4 linked regions of the Arabidopsis thaliana genome follow. The protein of the gene in region 2 interacts with the protein of the main gene of each other region in a pairwise test. Each region holds a gene or a part of one and is shown on either strand. Other genes may lie near its edges. The genes, in order: AT5G49210, DRNL, AT2G38300 and AT2G42750.

What was found.
Region 1: the proteins of DRNL (region 2) and AT5G49210 interact in a two-hybrid assay, tested with the Arabidopsis thaliana proteins (one large-scale study listed by BioGRID).
Region 3: the proteins of DRNL (region 2) and AT2G38300 interact in a two-hybrid assay, tested with the Arabidopsis thaliana proteins (one large-scale study listed by BioGRID).
Region 4: the proteins of DRNL (region 2) and AT2G42750 interact in a two-hybrid assay, tested with the Arabidopsis thaliana proteins (one large-scale study listed by BioGRID).

What each region holds. Positions count from the first base shown.
Region 1 is NC_003076.8:19,947,840-19,952,274, reverse strand, and holds AT5G49210 (stress response NST1-like protein), read right to left. Parts: upstream 2,585-4,435; 5' UTR 2,358-2,584; intron 2,202-2,357; 5' UTR 2,183-2,201; coding exon 1,766-2,182; intron 1,364-1,765; coding exon of another isoform or gene 1,358-1,363; exon of another isoform or gene 982-1,357; coding exon 811-981; 3' UTR 562-810; downstream 1-561. Other genes in the region: AT5G49200 (WD-40 repeat family protein / zfwd4 protein (ZFWD4)), read left to right, coding at 3,220-4,435.
Region 2 is NC_003070.9:8,713,843-8,717,375, reverse strand, and holds DRNL (DORNROSCHEN-like protein), read left to right. Parts: upstream 1-1,997; 5' UTR 1,998-2,066; coding exon 2,067-2,987; 3' UTR 2,988-3,011; downstream 3,012-3,533. UniProt on the Arabidopsis thaliana protein: Required for correct embryo patterning and cotyledon organogenesis. May positively regulate the gibberellin signaling pathway leading to germination, hypocotyl elongation, and leaf expansion.
Region 3 is NC_003071.7:16,043,440-16,048,066, reverse strand, and holds AT2G38300 (myb-like HTH transcriptional regulator family protein), read left to right. Parts: upstream 1-2,051; 5' UTR 2,052-2,387; coding exon 2,388-2,622; intron 2,623-2,773; coding exon 2,774-2,850; intron 2,851-2,973; coding exon 2,974-3,010; intron 3,011-3,097; coding exon 3,098-3,209; intron 3,210-3,330; coding exon 3,331-3,892; 3' UTR 3,893-4,119; downstream 4,120-4,627.
Region 4 is NC_003071.7:17,791,327-17,796,287, forward strand, and holds AT2G42750 (DNAJ heat shock N-terminal domain-containing protein), read left to right. Parts: upstream 1-1,938; 5' UTR 1,939-2,077; coding exon 2,078-2,326; intron 2,327-2,573; coding exon 2,574-2,702; intron 2,703-2,795; coding exon 2,796-2,925; intron 2,926-3,002; coding exon 3,003-3,123; intron 3,124-3,221; coding exon 3,222-3,303; intron 3,304-3,439; coding exon 3,440-3,493; intron 3,494-3,644; coding exon 3,645-3,683; intron 3,684-3,770; coding exon 3,771-3,870; intron 3,871-3,962; coding exon 3,963-4,093; 3' UTR 4,094-4,402; downstream 4,403-4,961. Other genes in the region: RPL16A (ribosomal protein large subunit 16A), read left to right, coding at 468-470, 549-656, 743-785, 1,132-1,327, 1,422-1,620.

The sequences.
Region 1 (4,435 bases), on a different chromosome or scaffold from region 2:
GAACATCTGATCTTCGCATTTGTACATATCTTCCTCGATATCGGTTAGATTTTTATGTCCCTAGATATCATAACTCTACACAACACAAGTGTTGTTTAGTACTTTTGATGAGACCGGCCTTTGTTTTTTCTTATGGATTAGCTTATAGCAAATTTTCTCCTTTTCTTGAGAGGTCTCTCAGGTTGGTCCAGCAACATTCCTCTCTTCCTTTTTCCCTCCAAATTGATCTTATCCGACTCTGTTTTTTGCGGGCTATCATCTACTTTAACCCTAGTTACAGCCTCATCTTTTCTATCACCGTAGACAATTTTTACGAACCGTTGATAAAGATTCTTGTACTTGTCGATCAAACATTGAAGAGACTTACTAAGCCCATTACTCGAATTAACTATTGGGCCTCTAGAAATTTACAAATTCGGTTCCTATAGAAAACTACAATATTGTCCCTCATGGCATTGTATAAATTTACAAAACATGTCACGCTGATAGGCCTACTAAGCCCATTACTCGATTAACTATTGGGCCTAGGTTCATTATATTCGAAACCAATGAGGAAGATGATTTACCAAAAAACAATCTTCTACTGATAACAATCAACAAGAGAAAACTTCTTATTAATGATGATATTACGACACCAGAACCACAACAAACAAGAGATTGGTCACAAGACCACAATTCTCATTATGTGCTTGATGCAAAAAGGCTAAAACAGCCTTCGCTTTCTTCTCTAAGAAAAAAAAAAGACTTGTCTTCAACAAAAGGACTAAAGTGATTGTTTCTTAAACAAAGATTCAGAGGAGAAGCTTTGGTTTAGAGAACAACGTTGTCAACCAAGGCTTCTGTAATCTTCCTCTCCAGTTCTTTTTGCTCGATCCATAGTGAACTCTGTTCACGCAGTAGCTTCTCTCTCTCTTTGATCTTCTCTTCCCTCTTTTGGCCCATCATCTTCCACATCTCTAGCTTTTCTGCTCTTTCTTTTATCTACAGTTTATTAAACACATAAACCAGTCAGTGAATCAAGCTTGAATCAGTTTTACAACTTTAAGAAGAAAAGCACTATGACCATTACTGCTCTGAGGCTGTGACCAAGAAACATGAGGAACTCAAACTAGAAATAGAAACCTAGGAGTGGTACTACTCTTCTGAATTAATTTGCAGACATAAGTACGTGAAATCAATTAATGAATCAGTGAATACTGCTTTGGTCAGTGTGTGTGTGTGCGATGTCTCATCTACCTACAGCCCGAACAAAGGAAGCTTCTAACTAACAAGTTTCACTGCCCTCAAAAGAATTCCCATTAAAAGCATCAAGATCCAGCATCAAAATCCATCTTATTTTTGATTGTTAGGTACGATGCTAAAGCTGTAACCAGAACAACAACAGCTAATGTAAGGAGACAATGATAACTACAGGATTCATCAAAACCTCCACTTGATGCTAAGCAACGTTTATCAAAGCTCTTAGTCATACATCTCCATCAGCTCTAATCTAAAGTTCTCTTCCAATCACAAACATAATACTATACCTTGAAGTTCTCTTCTATATAATACTACTACACCCTGATGCATAACTAGGAAAAGGTTCCAAATTTTCAAGAGGAAAACAACAATTTGATTCTCCACATGCTAGATGAACCTTATCCAGACAAACCCATTCTCCTATTTACTCAAGAATCATCTCACACTAATCCAACTACTTGATCAAACATCCACCATGGTTTCTATACAATAAACAAAGAACGGAGAAGAGAGAAAGTGAACTCACCAGAGTTTGCCTGAACTCTTCGTCAGCAATCTTACGTTCCTCAGCTCTAACCTTAGCAGCCTCAGCCTTCAAGAGTCGCCTCTCTTCATTAGCAGCTCGTTCAGCCAACAATCTAGCCTCATCCTTACGCTGTTTCTCAACACGAAGCATCTCAATCTCATGAATGTACTCTTTACGATACACTCGAACTTTCTTAGCATAATCTCTCCTAAGCTGAGCAAGCTTTCTCTCTGCATCTTTCGGATCACTCGGAGCTTCCCAGCTACCAATATAGTATTCTGGCTCAAGAAAATTGTGAGTCTCCTGGTGGAATCTATGGTGAGTGGCATCAGCAGAGAAAGACCTGAGAGAGCCAATCATGGAAGCATTCTCACTCTGCCTCCTCACGAAACGGCTTAGCTTATTGCAAAAAGCCATTTCACTAAATCTTCTGATTCTACACAAGGAGACAAAACGTTAAACTCAAATACAGATTCAGATTCAAAAACAATTAGATCCCTAGAAGTTTCTGGCTAAATCCTGATTAATGGGAACAGCTAGGGTCTGTGAATCGGAGAAAAATGCGAAAGTAAAATTGGTCGAAGAAGCTTACCTGGGAGGAACGAATGAGTCGTCGGAGATTTGTTTGTTTGAGAGAGAACCCAGGTAGAAGAAGAAGAAGAAGCACAACGGCGGTGAAACAAACCGGCGTGAAGCTTTTTTAGGGCTGAGAGAGAAATGAAGGAATTTTTTTTGTTGTTGTTCGAACAGTGAATATTTTATTCTACTCGAACCAAACCAATAAAACTAAACATTCTAAATCAAATATGTAAACCGAATATAACCGAATAAATTGGCTTTAATCAGAATCATAAAATTGTTAGTTATTCAGTCGATTAATTACTACATTGGCTTTAATCAGAATATTTCCTTGTTCTTGATCCATTTTTGTTGAATGAGTTAGTATTTCACTGTCTCAAGGTTTAAAAGAAGTTAGTCAATGGATTAATTACTACTTTGGCCTTCAATACTAAAAGGTTTACATCATTGTTAACATATGATATTGACTCTAGGGTGGTCTTGGCTAACAGTAATTAGACAAGTTGCGATGGACTCATCCTGATTTAGCTCTAATTAGTAATTAGTATACAGAATAAAGACCTCTTTTTTTCTACTAGTACAGAGATTTTAGGGTATAATTAATGACCTAACCTAATGATAGAATTGAACATTAATTGGACCCACGAATGATGGGCCTAAAGTTAAGCCCAATAGAAATTATTATAGCGTAACCGCCACGCTCATCTATATATACACCATTCCTCTGCAGCCCCAGATCATTCTACTCTTTACATGTTCTTTACTCCGTCTCAAAATTTCCTTTTTTTGTTGGCTCTCTCCGAACGAGTTGGAGAAATCGTTAACCCTAATCGAAGATCTAGATTCCTCTACATACGTTTGATCTCTCTCTCAGTATGGATTACAAAGCGCCAAGGAGATACTACTCACACGGAGTTGTTGCGAGACAGCAAGATTTCGCAACAGATATAGTTACGAGAAGAAGACCTTATGTCCCTTACGACCGTCCAAATAAGTTTTCAAGGAGTCTGGTTTGGACGTCAAAAGAGTACAAATCACCCGAGGGCAATAATATGCCAAGGACCAATGATGTGTCACCGAAACCACCAGTTTTAGGTTTGGCGAGGAAGAATGCTGCTTGTGGGCCAATGAGATCTTCTAGTCTCAGAAAATGGGTATGTAAGTATTGGAAAGATGGAAAGTGCAAGAGGGGTGAGCAGTGCCAGTTCTTACACTCTTGGTCTTGTTTCCCTGGATTGGCCATGGTAGCTTCTCTTGAAGGGCACAATAAGGAACTAAAGGGGATCGCTCTCCCTGAGGGTTCAGATAAACTCTTTTCAGTCAGTATTGATGGTACATTGCGAGTTTGGGACTGCAATTCTGGTCAGTGTGTACATTCCATCAACCTTGACGCAGAAGCAGGGTCTCTAATCAGTGAAGGCCCTTGGGTTTTCCTTGGCTTGCCAAACGCTATAAAGGCTTTTAACGTTCAAACCAGTCAAGATTTGCATCTTCAAGCAGCAGGGGTGGTTGGTCAGGTGAATGCAATGACTATTGCAAACGGAATGCTTTTTGCTGGAACAAGTTCTGGTAGTATCTTAGTCTGGAAAGCTACTACAGACTCTGAGTCTGATCCATTCAAATACTTGACATCTCTTGAGGGACATAGTGGTGAAGTCACTTGTTTTGCTGTTGGAGGTCAAATGCTATACTCTGGTTCTGTCGATAAAACAATCAAGATGTGGGATCTCAACACCCTGCAATGTATAATGACCCTGAAGCAACATACCGGCACTGTCACTTCACTCTTATGTTGGGATAAATGTTTGATATCGTCTTCCTTGGATGGGACCATAAAAGTTTGGGCTTATTCTGAAAACGGAATCTTGAAAGTTGTTCAAACTCGCAGACAAGAACAGAGTAGTGTTCATGCTCTTTCTGGTATGCATGATGCAGAAGCCAAACCGATAATATTCTGCTCTTACCAAAACGGAACCGTTGGCATTTTCGACCTACCATCTTTTCAAGAAAGAGGAAGGATGTTCTCTACGCACACGATCGCCACACTCACAATTGGTCCTCAAGGATTGTTATTCAGTGGAGACGAGAGTG
Region 2 (3,533 bases):
ATATTTTTTTTTTCACTACTCCACCCTATATATTTCAAAGCTATGATAATACTTCTTTTTTTTGTTGTCATAACTCATAAAGTTACAAATTAATTCTTTGTAGTTTCGAAAGACGGAAGCATGCATCAAAATAGAAATATAGGATTTTCTTTTCTTAACAGTTTTCCCGTTTTCTCCATCTGACAAATTGACGTCCATATCGTTTAGGTTTAGAATATTAGTCTGATTTCTATGAATTAAAGATCTAGCTAGAGCCGATTATTCAAACTACTTCATGAATTAATCTTCTGTTGATATGTTGTACCGTGTACGTACAAGTTGATACCACCGTTATATAGGTTCAAGTTTTCCACAAATTTCCACATTTTTTAAAAGTGATTTCGATTCCTTACAAACTGAGCTCTGTGGTGTTCAGCTTCATAATCCACTAATTCCACAAGGAGCTCACGACTTCTCTTCCTTCAACATCTACTGTTTGTAGACATGATTTGCCAACGTTTTGTTGAGGAAACATAGTTTTGTTTTTGTTTGCCTCACATATTTATTCCATTTTTTTGTTTGTTATTTTTTTCTTTTCAATCTGCATATTTTTTCGCGGCACAACCTAAATGAAAAAAAAATTACATGCAATTAGATATGATTGTAAATCGTTATATATATAACAACGGCAAAATATTTAGACACTCCTAAAAGACTTCTGCGTTGATATATTTTTTTTCTCCTACGCGATATATGTCAATAATTACGTGATAAACATAATAACATACGTGATAATTGCATGCAACCCTTATATTTAGACGATTGATAATTTTTTCTCCTAGGCGTGATAAAACTTTTTTTGACGGATTTTTTTTTTTTGCATTCAACCCTTATATTTAGGGCTCGAATATGAATGGAGCTTTACAGACATTAATTGATCAAGAATGTGAGAGAGATTTAGATTATTTTTTATGTAAATGCGAAATTACATTAATTATCAAACATATATATACGAAATTAGTGGTGGAGATTGATTTCCGTAAACGCAAAGGGTCATTAGTCACAATCGAGCTACAGTAGGAAAGCCCTAAAGAGGCTACACCATGAAGAAAGAGCCCTAGTTGAGACAAATCCACGTGACTTTGGTTTACAGATTAAAAAGCAAAACCCTAAATAAGCAAATCGACCATAATCTCGTAAAAAGAACAGACAAAACACAACCTCATGTAGAAGGAACAATTTCTGCGCGCCGCCAGTGTTATTAATTCAGAATCATAATTTCACGATTTTCAACCCTCTCCTTTTAAGCTTCAACTCCAACATCATAATTTTCCCTTCCACAAACTACTGTATAAATCACTTTTAACTCTATTGCTTATTATTATTACTGTAATTCATTATTATTATAAATTAATGACCATTGATTATTTCCCAAAACACAATTAAAGAAAAGTGCGTAAAGATTAAAGAATAATATGACCAACGGAAATAGCTGAAAACGATGACCTTTGAATTTGTTCAAAAATAAATGAAATCAATGATTTTATAATTTTAATTTGTAAATTGTTCAAGAAAGTTTTCTGAAATATATTCATGTCTTTCACTTAAAACAAAAGAATAAATCGACCTTTAATCAACAGTATCAAAGGACCTTTATACTCTGACAATAAGAAAGAATGGTGCAAGGGTTAAGATAAAAATAGTACATCATAATTATGAATTTGTTACTTGTCAAAAAGACATGAAATATGTAACTTATAACTGCTTTTATGCAAGTCCGTAGAAAAGGAAAAAGAAAAGACATGTAAGTTCGAACGTGGAACAAGAACTTCGTTAAACGTACTTTTGCTTTCTGCATCTCTCATAGATTCACAACTCACAAGTCAATAAAAGATGCAATGCAAGTCCATTTTTTTAAATTATATATTGGGTCAGGTCCATCTTAAATTAAAAACAATAAAAATGTATATTTTATTTTCTATAAATACGTAATCAGCTATCATCACATTCAGGTGCCTCACAACCCTAAGACAATCACAGAACAAAAAGAAAAATTCTTAGCTTTAAAAATTTCCCTTAGGTCAACCATGGAAGAAGCAATCATGAGACTCGAAGGTGCCGAGCACAGAGAAACCAACATCCATTCTTTGAAAAGAAAGCCATCAAGAACTTCCTCGACAGCTCCTGGCTCTCCCGGAGGAGTAACTACCGCAAAAGCTGCCTCCGGCGCCGGCGCTTCCGGTGTCTCTACGATAAGGTACCGAGGCGTGAGGCGTAGGCCATGGGGTCGTTACGCAGCTGAAATACGGGACCCATTGTCCAAGGAGAGACGATGGCTCGGAACATTTGACACGGCCGAGGAAGCAGCTTGCGCATATGACTGCGCCGCTCGAGCCATGCGTGGTCTTAAAGCTCGAACCAACTTCGTCTACCCAATGCCTTCTCTCGACTCTTATCACCACCGTATTTTCTCGTCTCCTCCAATGAATATGTTCCTTCTACGAGACGTGTTAAACTCTCAGTCTCTTTCTCCGTTAACCACTTTCGCTTACCCGCCTTGTAATCTTTCTAACGTAAACGACGTTGTTCACGAGTCCTTCACTAACGTCAACGATGTCTGTGAAGATCTCTCGCCTAAAGCTAAGAGGTCAAGTACCATTGAGAACGAGAGCCTGATATCAAATATCTTTGAACCAGAACCAGCTAGTTCTGGTCTTCTTCAAGAAATTGTTCAAGGCTTCTTACCAAAACCTATCTCTCAACATGCTTCTATACCTCCAAAGAGCAACCAACAGTCGGTTGGTGTTTTCCCGACGATGCCAGAGAGCGGTTTTCAGACAGATGTTCGTTTAGCTGACTTCCATGTCGAAGGAAACGGATTCGGTCAGGTTAAATATCATGGAGAGTTAGGTTGGGCTGATCATGAGAATGGGTTTGATTCAGCTAAGATGCAGCAGAACGGAAATGGTGGAATGTTTTATCAGTATTGCTTTCATGATGATTATTAGAATATTGTTGTTGTTCTACTTTTTACGTGCTTATCACTTCACAGTTTCTTTAGGGTTGTAAGAAATGAGGTTAAGGGTAACTAACTCAAATCTTTTGTCTTTTAATTTTTCGTCTAGTGCTATGATCAATTTATCTCTATGTTTTAGCAAAGAACAATTTTTATCTGAGTATGAGCGAAGTTAATTAATTGTGTATGACATATGTCGGTTATGAGCAAAGGTAATAACAAAAATAAAGTAAAAATACTCGAGGTGCTGGATGAAGACAATACCTAAAGGACAAAAATATATATCTTGAACAAATTAAGATTTTTTTTTCTTTTCTATAAGTTGACTTCAGAATCATAAAGACAGCCTTTGTCCTCTTGCTTTTTCTTCTTTCCCTTTTCCCTCTCAGATCACCGTAAGGGCATAATTATATTTAGGTTCACAAAATCCTTTGTCCATTAAAGTATTTGCACCATCAAAACTCAGTAAACATATACTTAAGGACTCGAATTTGCATCAATGTTTATAACCCTTATTCAAAAAAACCATATCCCAATT
Region 3 (4,627 bases), on a different chromosome or scaffold from region 2:
AAAGGAGTGGTGACGAGAAGCTTGTGAAGGATCGATGGCAAGTCTCTTTACACGTGGGGGGAATGACAAAGTTCTTCTTTTTTCTACTTCATCAAAGCTTACAATTTCCTCTCCTCAACAACTTTTTTTGTTTTTTTTGGTAGGGAACAACTTTTTTTGTTTGGCTAGCAGAATTTTATTTACTAACTGGAAAATATGAACTTAAGCCTATAGTTTAATCTCATGAACTCATAATCTCCATTTAATTCTGCAACGAAGTTTTATTGGATGGCATGTACCCGAATCTATAGTAGATATATACAACTGGAAAACAGTATTGTATATTGTTTTCGTGATGCACCAAAAACTTATGATTGAAATTTACGTAGAAATAAAACAGTACAATTTGTTAGACATGTTAATAGAACTGATCTTGTGAGTGCTCATATTTCTTGGAATTCCAAGAGGACTTCGAAAGCATAATTGGATCTAAAATATATTATATCATAAGCATATATACGTGAGAATGTATTTATCTTATTGTTTTCATAATAGAAGTGGTAAAGGTAAATATTCAAACTAATTGTCGAAATATGCGGAAGAGGTAGTATTCAATGGCTTACGATGACTAAAATCGTAATTACAAAAATCACCATAAACTCGTCTAAAAAGACTTTCTTTGCAATTAAAATTAAACCATATAGGACTTCGATTTATACGGTGTCAAATTTTATAACTATGTATGTTAATATTACATATTTTTGGAACGAACGATGTAAAAAAACGGCTCAACTAACAACGCTATTCATCGCTTCACGGGGTCGGATGTGTAACGTAAACCAAGCAAGGACCACTTTACACATAAACTAATTCTCTCATACGAATCTACAAAAATACATATAAAGATAATATATAATTTTGGGGTAAGAGAGGAGCATTGTCCCGTGATTCTCGTCGAACAAAAAACAGAAAAAGAAAGAAAGAAAGAGGTATGTGTGATGATGTGGTCTACATCAAAGACAGCTGAGCAGTCACACGCCTTGTAATCGTAATTTATTCGTCTATCTACCACTCTCGCTCTTCCATTTTTTGCCTTTAGCATTCAATTCCACGCAAAACCCTAAACCTCATAATCTCATCAAAAAGTTTTAAAGATAAATATATATGAATCTACCCATTAATCAATATATTAGTTAGTATTGTGATTTATCACTTTCTAAATACTAAAAAGTACTCAGAAGATTAGAAGGTTGATTTTAAAAATAAATTTTCTAACTAATTTGATCGCTATATCAATAGAAATGAGAGGATTTAAAATCCATCAAGTATAGTTCACTTCGATAAATTAATATTTTGTATAAATTGATTCATGTCACGTACTGGATCTTTTAAATCGTTGAGGATCAAAAATTATTTTGCAACAAAAAGAAAAACAGAAGGAAAAGAAAGTTTAGTTAACATTAATTTTAAACCAAATGTCTTAAGAAAAAGACAATGATCTCGATCATCAATGATCCTAATTCCGACAAAACTACTCTGAGGTATATTATAATTTTGTGAATTCGATTTTGTATTTAATTATTTTTCCTGGAAACTGCATCACGGTATCAAAAAATTTAAAATTCTTCATTTTTTTGTTTTCTTCTAAACTCAAATAACGTCTCAACTATACTAATATCTTTCTTATTTTCTTATAATTATTAATTTTTTTTTTTTTTTTTTTTTTGTTGTTGTTGTAAATAGTCTTACTTATACTAACTAATTCATTCATAGACTGTTAGTCCCGATACATGAATTTTATCTATATCGATCTTTGTAATCGAAATGTTTGTTTGACGAACTAAGGCAATCTAAGACTACTAAGAATATGCTATATATAGAGCCTAATTTCTATCACACTCATCTTAGCCTTTGGTGAACAATAATATAGAATAAGTGTTACTTGTAATTTGTTGGCATGTTAAGGGTATAAACAACAATTTATCTCATTTATAGGAGTAATAGTTTTCTCCCTCCATGGTTGATATTAATATGCATCCACATATTAAAATATACAACTATTTATATATAGAGCTGTCTATAGTAGAAAAGGGCCGAAATCAATTAGCTGTGAACAGAAAAGAAAACTTTTTAACATATGCAACAAGATTTAGGTGAGGGTTTGTCTACATGTTCCGGGAAGAGAGAGAGAGAGAATCAGAAGTGTATCTTGATCTAGGGTTCACAGACAAAATCTCCATGCTTTGAACTAAGCAGAATTCATCTGGTCTTTTATCTCTTTCATATCAAACCAAAGGATTGATCTATCCATATCGTCCAAAACCTATATCTAGCTAAGCCTAGAACTTCTCTATCGTTTACCACTTTCTTTCTATATTTCTTCTGAATTTGTAACATCAGAAGTAATAATGATTCCAAGTATGGAGGGAGGCGGGAAGACTAACAGAGAAGAAGAGGAGGAGGAAGAGGAAGAAGAAGAAGAAGGTGAAGAGAGTAAGGTTTCAAGCAATAGTACAGTGGAAGAGAGCGACAAGAAGACTAAGGTTAGGCCTTATGTGAGATCTAAAGTCCCTCGACTCCGGTGGACTCCTGATCTTCATCTTCGCTTTGTCCGCGCCGTTGAGAGGCTTGGAGGTCAAGAAAGTACGTCCATAGCTACTAACTTCATCTTTCATCACCTCCTCCACATATATATAAAAGCATAAGCAATTTCTTAGTTATTCTTAGGTTAACTATTTGGTCAAAACCTCATGTGATTTTCTTTTTTTTAATGTGTATGTTTGGTTATGTATAGGAGCAACTCCAAAGTTGGTTCGTCAGATGATGAACATCAAAGGGCTTAGTATTGCTCATGTCAAGAGCCATCTACAGGTATTTGATCTACATACATCTAAAACGTACCTATATATGTGTTGTATTTTCGATTTCGTTTCAAATAATCTCTGAAATTAGAAAAAAAAAGAAATCACTAAATTGTGTATTGGAAAATTTTAGATGTACAGAAGCAAGAAGATAGATGATCAAGGTCAAGGTATTGATTCTTTCTATTTGTGTTCATTAGTTAGTTATCAAGTTATACATGTATAGGCCAATAAAGTGGGGTTTGAATTGTTGGCAGCTATAGCTGGTCACAAACATCTCTTCGAGACTTCCACAGATCGAAATATTTATAAACTAAGTCAGCTACCGATGTTCCGAGGCTATAATCATAACCATGATTCTCCATTCAGGTTGATATAACTTTTTTTTTTGAAAATTTTAGATTTTATGTGTTCCTTAATTTGAATGATATTCCGTTTTAATTATATTTATTCGGAAACTAAATTAATTGTCTTCTTTTGTTTTTGGTAGATATGGAAGTAAAATTTCAAATGCTTCTTTGTGGAACTCTAGCTCTCAAGGAACAGAAAGGAGTTTGATAGACCAAATTAGGCCCGGTTTAATCCGCAACGCGTCGGTTAGCAATAACATCCGTGGTAGTGATTATTGGACTAACAACAAGTCTTTCCAAAACATCTACTCTTCTTCAATTTCTAATCACTTTCCGAAACTACGACACGATCATCACGAACGGACCAATTCAGTCACATTCAACAGCATTCAAGGACACTCAAGAACTTTTCAAAAGTTCCATAACGGTGTTGAGGAGAACACTAATCATTCTTATTGTAGCAAGACAAATGGCAAAAGAGACGCAAGTAGGAGCATTGATCTTGATCTATCTCTTAAGCTAAGACAACCGGAGAAGACAATTTTGGAAGAGACAGAAACAGCAGCAACAACAACGGATCAAACGTTGTCCTTGTCGCTATGTCCAGGGTCGTCTTCGTGGAAAAAGAGCCGACTGATGAAAGATGAAGAGGATCGGACGGTTAAGATTGGTCAGGAGAGTACTCTGGATCTGACTCTATGAATTATATTTAAGAATGAGACAAATTCTAAGTGAGATCTTGAGGTACTTACCGATATCTTAATATTCAGTGTCGTTGTTGTTTATCATTAATCATGTATTTTCTTTATTATTAGAAAGGAAACAAAAATGTTTGATTATATTAACGGTCTTGAGTTTGTTTGATACCGCCAATTTGTATCATCACATATATAAACAAATATTACTAGCCACATCATAATGATTCGATCTTTTGTCTTCTCATAGCAATATACTATATGAAAATTACATATACATATAACAACAAATTTACATCGATTAGAGTATCTCTGCTGGTGAGCTTCATTCATTTGTAGATGAGACTTTTACGTAAATAGTACAAAAATTTTGGTTTCGTATTTATCCGAACAGTACATGGACAATTTTGTAGTTCCAAAACATGTTATAGTTAATAGTAGTGTTTTCAATAATTTCCAAAATCCATCTTCACTCATTTTTCCCTTTTCAGAGACATAGTGAAACAATTTTACACTATGCAAATCCGAAGCCAATTATTTTTGAGGTTTTTACTATATGTGAACAAGATTAATACTTAAACAACAAGACACACCTCGTTCTTTGTAAATATTAAAGAGGTTAAAGATCATAATACAAAAAAAAACATAGAAAAAGTTCACAAATCATCAAATCTTTTGAGTTCATTATTCTATATAAAATTTTATCTCGTGAAATGTTTATTGTATAAGGATGTGATTAGTT
Region 4 (4,961 bases), on a different chromosome or scaffold from region 2:
AAAGTTATCATGTATCTCTTCAATCACATTGATTACCATAGAAATGAAAAAGACGAAACAGAGCAGACAACATACCTTGCTAAAGTGCTACTTGCTACAGAGTCGTGAAAGCTCTCCACTTTCAATACCAATTTAATCGTGAGATCAAAAGTGAAAACATCGAATACTAGGGTTTTGGAAAGTTTAAGAGAAGAGACGAAGAAACTGAAACAACTTATTATAAGCAATTTCCTCCATTTCCACATGAGGAAAGAGTAAAGCAGAAAGACTGATGAAGAAAAGGTAAGTAGTCTGTTTGGGAAAGAAAGTCACGTGAGAGAAGCGTGGGCCTTTAAGGGTAAAACTGTCATTTAAATAGTCGCCGTTCTTTACACTTAGGATTAGGGCTTCTAACATTTAAATAGTCGTTTCGTTCTCCGTCTCTCCTTTCCCGTCGGCCGGTGATAATTTCGCAACCCAAATTCCAAATGGTAAGTTTCAGTTCTTGGATTTGTATGATTTTGTAATGTGAATAGGGATTTGAAGATTTACTTACTTTTGAAATTCAGGCGTCGGAGAAGAAGCTATCGAACCCAATGAGGGACATTAAAGTGCAGAAGCTGGTTCTCAACATCTCCGTTGGTGAGAGTGGAGATCGTCTCACCAGAGCCTCCAAGGTTCCTCCTGTTTTTTACCCATTCTCTGTGGTTTTCACTCTTGTTGTCACTTGGTTATAATCGATTGATTCGTGGTTACTTGGTAGGTTTTGGAACAATTGAGTGGTCAGACTCCTGTTTTCTCCAAAGGTTAGATTTTTTCTCATATTTGAAAGCTTACAAATAGTCTGGTTGATAGATTTAGTAATCTAGAAGAATTTGGGAAACATAGTTTAGTTAAGTCTATGAATGGGTGCATGGTTTGATGATGAATTTGAGATTTTGGAATCCAGTAAGTCCCTTATCTGGTGGTTTGTGATAACTTGATAAGCCTACCAGTCCAAATTAGGAGCTGTTCGTTTCCCCGCTTCTGATATAGTTGCGTTGTGCACTCTGTTTTATATGCATCGCTTTTGGTTTGCTCTGAGAGACATGATTTGGTTTAGCTTCTTCCATTGCAATTTTCAAGAACCCTTGTTATGTGTGGCTTTTGCAGCTAGATACACTGTTCGTTCTTTTGGTATCAGACGTAACGAGAAGATCGCATGCTATGTAACCGTCAGAGGTGAGAAGGCAATGCAACTACTTGAAAGTGGATTGAAAGTCAAGGAATACGAACTTCTCAGAAGAAACTTCAGTGACACTGGTTGCTTCGGTTTTGGTATTCAAGAACACATTGATTTGGGTATCAAGTAAGTCAATCCCCTTAAATCATCCTGTCATAACACTTGGGGTTCACCACATTCTTGGTGATACTCATTGATCTTTGTTTCACTTCTTATAAAGGTACGATCCATCAACTGGAATCTATGGTATGGACTTCTATGTGGTCCTAGAACGTCCTGGCTACCGTGTAGCACGTCGCAGAAGGTGCAAGGCTCGTGTTGGTATCCAACACAGAGTAACTAAAGACGATGCAATGAAATGGTTCCAGGTGAAATACGAAGGAGTCATTCTCAACAAGTCCCAGAACATCACTGGCTAAAACAATTCCTCCTAACTCTTTCTTCTGTTTTAGAAAACCCTGTCTCAGTTTTGTTTACTTGTCTGAATCTTAATCTTTGTACTTTATATGCATTATTGGCTTTAGTTTCAGTTATTTAAGTATCTAATTTCGTGTGAGGATAAGCAAGATAAGAAAATTTTGGCGGGTAGTTGAAGCGTGTGGAGACATATAAATCCACTAGCTGACACGTGCCACGGACGGCTAAGCACGCTTTCGCCGATCGCCGATCGCCGCTAGATTCATCTCGGATTCCTCCAAATAAGCTTCCCTGGTTCTTATCTTGCCACGTCAGCATTTCTCCCTCGTACGCCTTAAATTCTTCACAAAAATAATAAAAATATTAATTCAAATAAATGTTCATCTTCTCCTACGAATGAAATTGAAATTAATTTGAGCGATCGGAACAGGATCGGGTCGGATCTTTTGAAGTTCTTCAATGGCGCAGATACTTTCCCCTGTTTGTACGGATCTTTTGAAGTTCCAGAACTCAGCTCTTAGCTCCAGATCAGGTGCGTCGCCGCGGTTCTCGGCGAAGACCACCGGTGCTTCTTCATCTTGGTACTTACCTCGGTACGCAGGAAAGAGGCGAACCGATTCAATCGGAAGATTGAGAGTTGCAACTGAGGATGCTTCTTCTCTTTCCACCGGTGATGTCGCCGATGATTACTATGCCGTTCTCGGACTCGTAAGAACCAAGGCTATTTCAATCCGATTTGATATATGCATATAGGGATTTTGAAGTGATGATTTTTTTTTTTGGTTTAAGTTGTTTGCTTATGATTGAAACTTCTTGTGTATCATGGAAAAATACTCTGCATTTCATATGGTTGTAGCTAGATTCATCTTTGTCGAAATTGTGAAGCCTTTGACAGGTTACAATCATTAAGATCAAAGATTGTGACTTTAATAACTCTCCTTTGCTATGTCAATAGCTTCCAGATGCTACGCAGGAGGAGATTAAGAAAGCTTACTATAACTGTATGAAATCGTGCCATCCAGACTTGAGTGGCAATGACCCCGAAACCACAAATTTCTGCATGTTCATTAACGATATCTATGAGGTGAGTTTTTTACTTGACTTCCTTATAGATTTTTGTAAGCGTTTAGTAAGGTCCATATGCTTTTTCGTTTAATGATTTACCGTTGCATTGCAGATTCTCAGTGACCCTGTACAGCGTATGGTTTACGATGAAATTCATGGGTATACAGTGACTGCCATCAATCCTTTTCTTGATGACTCCACCCCAAGGGATCATGTTTTTGTTGATGAGTTTGCTTGTATAGGTATTCTTTCTTCAATTTAGAGGCTGCGTGCTTTGATGATCTGGAAAGTGACTACATTTGCGTTTGGTGTTTAACAGGCTGCAAAAATTGTGCCAATGTGGCTCCAGATATATTTCAAATTGAGGAAGACTTTGGTAGAGCAAGGGCTTGTAATCAGCGTGGCAACCCAGATTTGGTTCAGCAAGCAGTTGAAACATGGTAGGTTTATATTCTGTAGATGCAACTGATTGTTATAGTTACTTCTGGTGGGCAATTTCAGAGAACTGATTAGGAGATGCTTTTGGTTTTGTTTTCAGCCCGGTTGATTGTATCCATCAGACTTCTGCTGCACAGTTGTCATTGCTTGAAGATGAAATGCGAAGGGTTGAAAGAGTGAATGTAAGACGAGCATTTCCCTTGTAGCTATCTTGTTGTTCATTGATTAGAAACAGAAGACATTGCTGAGGTTTCTTGATTGTATATTTGTTGCTGAACTGCTGCATTTAAGCTCTTGGAATTGTCATTGATTGATCAGGTTGCTCTGATGCTTTCTGGAATGGGGTCAGGAGCAGTTGATGTTTTCAGAATGGTAAGAAGGAAATAAAACCCGCTCGGTTCGGTAGCTGATCAAAGCTGAAATGTTCTTAGTCATTTTTTATTCCCACATACAAATTGGCAACAATGTAGCCTATTGTTCTTTAATTTTCATCTAACTGATAAGTCTTTGAATCCTGTTTCAGGCGAGATCTCGATGGGAAAAGAGGCAAGCAAAAGTTTTGGTATGAACTTTCATCACCTTTGAAATCCTTGGAAAACTATTTGCAACATAATATCTAAACATCACCTCGTGCTTACCTATGTTTCAGAATCAAGCTAGAAGTAGAATGATGAAGAGGAAAAACACAGATGAAACACCTTCCTATTGGGATAACCTCTGGGGCAAACAGAATGAATACCAGAAAAGCGGTAAAATTGATGATAGTAAACTCTCCTTCCTCTTTGGCTAATGATCATACAACATTACATATTTACTCATTTCGGTGTATGTCATGTGACAGAGGAAGAAGTACAAGAACGAGCACAGCGAGCCGCCGCAGCAGCCAGGAGATGGAGGGAATACTCACGAAGAGGCGTGGATAAGCGCCCCACCTTCAAACTCCCAGACTCCGCCTCCAGAGGAGACAACTGAAACCATAGACAGAAATCACTTATAGTTTATATAGGTAAGCAGGTTTCTTACTAGATTATATATCTATATATGTAAATGTCATGTCGCGTTCTAGACCTGTATAGCTTTGTTCTCACATCGATTAAGGAAGAAAAAAACAAGTGTATTTAACGTTTTCGATTTCTGTATTATACTATTTAAAAAAAAAGTTTGCAACGCCTAGATAAAATTAAAATACATTAGTTATGTAATATGCTCGTGATCATTGAGATTGTTCGTGTCAATTATTTCCTTACAAACGATTTCAAGAGCGTATGAATGTGAACATACATACTTATGGTTTACCCCTTAAAGTATTAATTCTCGATATATATAGGAATCCTGAACAATTATTCACGCAAGTTATAAATCATCCACGATTAATAAGGTTTTTAAATATTATTCTACATTAATTAAGTGAATATTGGTCTGTGAAAAGTATAGAACGCAACGATGAAATTACAAAGAGAGAGAGAGAGAGGGTGGATCTTATATAACATTTGCAAAACAGTTAATTTATGTTCAAAAAAATTAGTTCATTATTACGTAATTTCATCAATTATTATGCCTAGACAAAATAAATAGTAAAACACTAGTTTCTTGATAGATAATACACTAATAAGTCGTTATCAACGTGATTATGCACAACAATTGTGTGAGAATTATGTGATAGTGACGTGGCAATAAACCATATGACAAGTGTTGAGCATTATTGGATATGATTGGCCCACCACTCAAAAACCTCATTATAGATTCTCTTCTCCGACAAGGACACTTTTGTTCTGGGTCAATGGTCGTATCAGAGATCTCTCTCACCAAACAAAAATCGAATTCTTGTGAACAGATTTTT